Linked DNA regions of Ovis aries. The protein of the gene in region 1 purifies or fractionates together with the protein of each later gene. This does not show direct contact. Links are inferred from orthologs where the notes say so. Each region holds a gene or a part of one and is shown in the gene's direction. Other genes may lie near its edges. The genes, in order: FBXO7 and PSMB7.

Region 1 (3,034 bases):
CTCTGAAATAGTCATCTATTTTGTTATTTAAATTGAGGTCTATTAGGGACATAATTTAGGTGAGAAAGTGAACTTAAGTACTGACTTCCCCCGCCCTTCCCTGCCAATACTGTAACTTTTTACATTCTATGGCATGATATTTTCAACAAATATTTAAAATTTCCATTTTCAGAAAAGGCTGACGTGAAATTCATATCGGCTTGAGAATGCTAGATTGCATTCTTGAGAGTCCGTGTCACTCACTCATCCCTTCTCTGGATGTGTTGTTACTCCAGATTGGCACAGCTGCTGAGCTGCAGTGTGGTTAAAGACTAGACTGCCTTTGGCATTGTGTTCACAGCTACTACCTTATTCATGCAGGTAGAAACTGGTAGAAGTTCCCTTCAGTGTGCTAGCTTCTTTGTCTGCCTCCGTACTGTGGGAAAAGAGAAGTATGTATACATCTGTACAATGAAAGCCAGCTGGAACTTTGGGGATGTGTCCAACTCACTCACGTCTTGTTCTTATCTGTCTGCAGCTGTACAAGAAGAGGTACAGACAGAGGAAAGAAGCCCAGAGAGGGCGGCACGCGATGTTCCTGCCGTCATCCCCCCACCCCATTCCATTCTACCCCAGCCCCTTGCACCCCAGACCTTTTCCTCCCAGTTCTCTCCTCCCTCCAGGAATTATCGGTGGTGAATATGATCAAAGACTAACCCTTCCCTATGTCGGGGACCCAATCAATTCACTCATCCCTGGGCCTGGGGAGACACCCAGCCAGTTCCCTCCACTCAGACCACGTTTTGACCCAGTGGGCCCACTTCCAGGTCCTAACCCCACCTTGCCAGGGCGAGGTGGCCCCAGTGACAGATTTCCCTTAAGACCCAGCAGGGGTTGGCCAACTGACAGCCGGCTACCATTCATGTGACTGATTTGTTACCTCACTCTGGAGCTTGTTTTGGTTTTGTTTCTTTAAAACTACAGATGTCATTTTGCTGGGGTGCTACCTCTATTGTTTTCTGATTGCGATGGTGGGACTTGGACTCACAGAAACCTTTTATAAACTTATTAAGGTTGGTGCAAACATAATTGCGGTTTCAGACCATGAATTTTAAATCATAAATTATAACTAGGCTCAAACACATCTTTATTAATCAAAATAGGACCATTACAATCAACACATTTCTGCAAATGAGAAGTCCTATAGCATAAAAATCCATGCTTTGGGGTTTGATGAACTCTTGGAAACCATTTTCTGCCTCCTGCTGGTTGTGGAAGCGTTTCCCCTGCAGAAAGTTGTTCAGATGCTTGAAGAAAGTGGTGGTTGGCAAGAGGTCAGGTGAACGTGGCAGATGAGGCAAAACTTTCATAACCCAATTCCTTCAACTTCTGAAGTGTTGGTCGTGCTGCATGCGGTCAGGTGTCGTCATAGAGAATTAGGCCCATGCTGTCGACCAGCACCAGCTGCAGGCGTTGCAGCTTCCAGTGCGTCTCATCGGCTTCCTGAGCAGACTTCTTAGATGTAATAGTTTCGTCAGGATTCAGAAATTTGGTGGTGGGTCAGATGGGCAGCAGACCACCTAACAGTGACCATGATCATTTTTTGGTGCAAGGTTGGCTTTGAGAAGTGCTGTGGAGCTGCTTCTCGGTCCAGCCACTGAGCTAGTTGTTGCCAGTTGTTGTATAAAACCCACTATTCATCACATCACAATCTGATCAAGAAATAGTTGTTGGTACAATGAGAAGATAACACTTCAAAATGACAATGTTTTTGATTTTTGGTCAGCTCATGAGGCACCCACTTACGGAGCTTTTTCACCTTTCCAATTTGCTTCAAATGCTGAATGTCCATAGAATGGTTGACATTGAGTTCTTCAGCAGCTTCTCCTGTAGTTGTAAGAGGATGAGCTTCAATGATCGTCTCAATTGGTCGTTGTCAGCTTCCCATGGCTGGCCACTGTGCTCCTCATCCTTAAGGCTCTCGTGTCCTTTGCAAAACTTCTTGAACCACCACTGCACTGTGTTAGCAGTTCCTAGGCCAAATGTGATGTCGATGTTGCAAGTTCTTGCTGCCTGAGGACCCATTTTCGACCCATCTTGAATAAGAAAATCACTCAAATTAGCTTTTTGTCTAACATCATTTCCCTAGTCTAAAATATAAAATAAGCAAGTCATTAGCAAAAAAACATAAAGTGAGAAGTGCACATTAAAATGATGTACAACATAACCACATTTATTTAAGAATATTCCAATATCAAACAGCAATGTTTAACAATGCAAAGCTGTAATTACTTTTGCACCAACCTAATTGTTAAAGCTCCAGGAGTGGTATGGCTCACAGGTTACTTGCTCGACAGGGTTGGCCTTGGGAATATGGTTCCTGACATCCCCTCTCAGTTACCGTCTAGAATGCAGGTTACACACTGATAATGTTGCATACCAGAATAAAATATTAAGTGTAAATTACATGGCAGTCTTGACTTTTATTACAGAAAGATGTGTAATATTACAGTATTACTTGGACATTTGAAAATGATCAGAGAAGCTATTCATTGTCATCAGATTGCTGCAGGGGATTATTTTTGTTTTGTAGCGGCACCCTTTCTTCACGTGAAATTATTTGCAAAGGCCTGATCTATGGAATGAACACAGTAGAGCCAGTTTGGTTGAACTGGATGTGAGGTGAATGGACCCCCCCAGCTCAGCCCCCTCCCCCCCTCTCTGCAGCTGCTCCTCAGGCTCTGTGCCAAAACTTCTGGGCTCCAAAATAGCGCTTTTTGGCCACCATTGGGTTGTTAGGGACTCCTGTTTCTGACTTCTTCTGGAGTGGAGTTTGGGTTCTTTTTCCTTGTGTTTTGAATACTTGGAGCCTAACCTGTAAGTAGATGACGTCTTCTAACAACAAAGTATAGTGCTTTGAGTGCTGCTCAGGTACTTGTTCTGCAAAGAAACCCTCATCATTCGTAGAATATTTTGCTTTTAAGACTTAAAATACACAAAATTCAAGTTTTATTTTGCCTACAACAAGAAAAAGGTCAAACACAAATATCTTAGC
Region 2 (3,827 bases), about 170 Mb from region 1:
TGGGTCAAAGATAGGAGCATTTAACGTTTTAATACATATTGCCAGGATTGTAGCCGAGAAAGATTGTTCTAAGCTGTCCTACCATCAGTTGTGTATGAAACTCATGGCCTGATCTTTAATGATTGCGTAGTATTCTGCTGTATAGCTAGGTGTATTAGTTTAGGTAATTCTGTTTCCACTTTTCTAGCATCATAAACAGTTACTGCAGTAAATATTCTTATGAATTCATTTCTGCATATTTATCCTTTTATATTTTTAGAATTAGATTCCTGGAAATAGAATTTCTGGATCAATTTTTAAGGATTTCATTGACTTGCCAAAATAGCTTAGACTCTTTTAAAGGCATCAAGCAGATTATGTTTTAGCTTGGAAGGAAACTAGCTGGTTATTGTTGACTTTAACTGAACAGTCTATTTGGCAGGAGATATATATATATATATATATATATATATATATAGTGGATCAAGCACTGGGCTAGGGTGGGAGTGGTGGGTCTGGTGATTCTCTGGCTTCTCACCCCAGAGTTCCAAGATCTACTCTTGAACCTGTTGCCAGCTCATGTGGCTTAGGACCAATTTCTTCCCCTGTCTGGGCCTCTCTTCCCTCTTGAGACTGCTTCTAAAATCTTTCCCTGCTCTTTATTTTTTCACTTATAAATGGAAGATTTGAAGTAATGAATTGGTAATCAAGGGATGCAGGAAGTATTGGACTTGACCTAGAGCACTTCCTGATAGGTAACTGTCTCAGGCAGTCTAAAATTAGGACTTTGGTTTTTGTGTTAATTTATTTGTATCAATTTTAATGATTGTATCATCAGGCAAATTCAACATGTTTTAGTTTCATTTTTCTTCCCAAAGAGCCAAAGGCTTACACTGGAGAACTTTAAAGCCAGCATGTTTATCCAGTATAGCAGTTCTAATGGTAAAAAAAATTGATCCATATATAGGGAAAGAAATCTGTAGAAGTGTAAAACCAACCAAGTAGAGGGTCCAAAGGAGCAAATATGTGCAGAATTAAACAGATGGGGTCAGGTGGAAAATGTCTCTCCCATGTTCCTGAGAGAGATGGCTTTAAACTGTGGACAGTAGCAATGGGTTTATAAACTGTCATGGAGTTATTTCATGGTTCACTTCCCTGCATAATGAAGTACTTTTTTCTTTTATTCAGTATGAGCTCTTATCTGCCATAATTTTGTGGATTTATTCAAGGGAAAGGTATTTTGACAAAAGTGATTTTCCTGTGGTGAGGTTGATAATTTGAACAGTTCTAGTTTAACGACATTTCACCATTGACTTGGAAGGGACCTTATTTTCGAATCACAGAGAGGTCTGATGGGAGGGGTATTCATGATCTTCGGAGTAAGCCACGCTTGGCTCTGAGACTTTCTAATGACTTTGGGTTGGTTTTTCCTTCTCTACAATAAGAACTATAGTGTCTTCTTTTGAAGGGAGTTGTGAGGCAGAGATGATGTAAGGCACATGGGTGCTTCATACAATTTACAGTTTTTTTTGACTGATAGATGTTCAAATATGTTTGCTCCATTCCTTATTTTTTTCCCCATCAGAACAGTAGCTATTTAATGAAGCAGTAGTAGTGAAAGAAAAACTTTTTGTTGTCTGACTTCTCGTGCAACTTTTGAGTAAGTTATAGTGATGCAATGTAGACTCATTTTTTTTTTCTTATGCATGCTCTGATCACCAGGTATCAAGGTTACATTGGTGCAGCCCTAGTTTTGGGGGGAGTAGATGTTACTGGACCTCACCTCTACAGCATCTATCCTCATGGATCAACTGATAAGTTGCCTTATGTCACCATGGGTGAGTGTAATGTTTCCCTGATGTTTCAGAATCCTCTTATTTACCAAAGTAGTCTCTAAAAGAGCTGGTTTATTTCCTGATAGAGGAGGCAGCACAATGTGCTTTGATTCCTTCTACAAATATCTGTTGATTTCCTTCTGGGGATTAGGCCTGTTTTGTCTGCTTGGGATATAGCAGTGAACAAAATTTAGACTTAAGTGTCTTGCCTACAAGGAGTTTATATTTTAATGGGAGTGGACAGACAATAACAACAGCTTTATGTTAGAAAGTGATAAATACTAGGAGAAAAAAACATAATGTAAGTGATATTATACCACAATTATGCAAGATACTACCTTTGGGGGAAACTGAGTTAACAGTGTACGAAAACTTGGTTTATTATTTCTTACATCTGCCTCTGAATTGACAATTATCTCAAAACAGAAAGTTAAAAGAAAATTAATGCAGTGTAAGGGGACTTGAGAATGTTGGGGTGGAAGCCAGATAATACTGTTAAACAGGAAGGTTACAGTAGGTTCGTGAAGAAGGTGAGGTTTGAGTGAAAGGGGCTCCCAGGCAGAAGGAAGACTGGAGGCCTGCCTTGGGGAACAGGCCTGGTACGTGCAGAGAGTTTTTAAGTGACAGAGTCTCTGTTTGCCGTTTAGTCGCTGAGGGATCCTGGACATTTAAGGTTCCTCTCTCAGCCTTGATTTCCTCACTCTGAAATGGTGTCAGTAATGCCCACCATGCATGCAGGGTATGATGATTAAAAATGATGTATGTAAACCATCTGACCCAATGCCTGTTCTGTAAATAGTAGCTACACTTTTTATGTCAGCTTTGTACATTTGTATTTTAGCTATAAACGCTAGATGAATATTTTTTTTTAATAACTAAAAAAAAAAGTGATAAAATTACATTAGAAGAGTTGGGATTTTTGAATTTAACTCTCATGCTCAATTTCTGAGTGAAATTTTTGCATATATCCAGAAATTTGAACAGGCCATGTGTAACCAGCGTTTTTCTAGATGTTGTTTAACTTTCACATTTTTTGCCTTGGTATCTTGGCTCTGCAGAGCCAGGGATAACTGCTGCCTTGAATAGTCTGAAAATTGTTAGTGTGAGACTTTGCTGTTTCATTATGTTTAATACTCAAGCCTCTTATGAGGTTTGTATATAACAGATGTTCCCTGTTTGTGAGAAGAATGATTTGCCCCCAGATACCATATGGAATAATTATTTTAAAATGAAGATAGACTAATTTTAGAAATGTTTTGAATTCTTTGTTCCATTTTATTTGTTATCTCCATCGAGATACTGTTTTTATTTCTCCCCATCTGGTGCCTTTAAATGGTAGTAAAGGTGCAATAGTCTTTTCTATTAAGTAGTTTTATTTCTTCTTTTTTTAATTAAAAGACTTTTCACACTTGCAAGAAGGTAACAAGAATGTACAATGAATAGTCATATATACCCTTGACTCATTTTTGTCACCTAACATTTTACCACATTCTTGCTCGCTCTCTGGTGCATTTTTGCTGTGTGTGTGTGTGTGTGTGTGTGACCATTCGAGAGTAAATTGTGGACACTATAACCCTCTACCTCAAAATCCTTTAGAATGTTCCCTTACATCACCTTGATGACATCATCAAAATCAGAAAATTTAACATTGATACAAGGCCTTTTCATTTTTGCGATGGGAAAATTGAGTTGGTTTCTGTTGCTTTTGAATTGTAGTAATTTGTCTTATGAGCATCATCCCAAACTTAGGAAAGGTTGTTGGAAGTGAGTAAAGCAGATTTGTGTCTGCTCATTCCGTTCCTGCAAGTCCGCTTTGTGCCCCGTCCTGGCCAGCAGTGACCTGCTTCCCTCCAAGTCCAGCGTGCGTCCGTGGTGACGGCTCCACGCCCGGCTTAGAAATCGTTACTCTCCACAGTCTGGCTTTGCTTTCATAGGAGATTAAGAAGAGCAAGATACCAGTAACGTCCGATTTTAGATACACAAGTAAGATGTGACTTTTAAGGTTTAGTTTGC

The links.
Region 2: the proteins of FBXO7 (region 1) and PSMB7 purify together in Homo sapiens (affinity purification with mass spectrometry; 3 studies listed by BioGRID and IntAct, counting the BioPlex papers as one, with this or other methods). This does not show direct contact. The link is inferred for Ovis aries from reciprocal best matches to the Homo sapiens genes FBXO7 and PSMB7.

What each region holds. Positions count from the first base shown.
Region 1 is NC_056056.1:176,715,349-176,718,382, forward strand, and holds the end of FBXO7 (F-box only protein 7), read left to right. Parts: intron 1-517; coding exon 518-907; 3' UTR 908-2,445; downstream 2,446-3,034. UniProt on the Homo sapiens protein: Substrate recognition component of a SCF (SKP1-CUL1-F-box protein) E3 ubiquitin-protein ligase complex which mediates the ubiquitination and subsequent proteasomal degradation of target proteins and plays a role in several biological processes such as cell cycle, cell proliferation, or maintenance of chromosome stability.
Region 2 is NC_056056.1:11,429,925-11,433,751, forward strand, and holds part of PSMB7 (proteasome subunit beta type-7), read left to right. Parts: intron 1-1,701; coding exon 1,702-1,817; intron 1,818-3,827. UniProt on the Homo sapiens protein: Component of the 20S core proteasome complex involved in the proteolytic degradation of most intracellular proteins. This complex plays numerous essential roles within the cell by associating with different regulatory particles.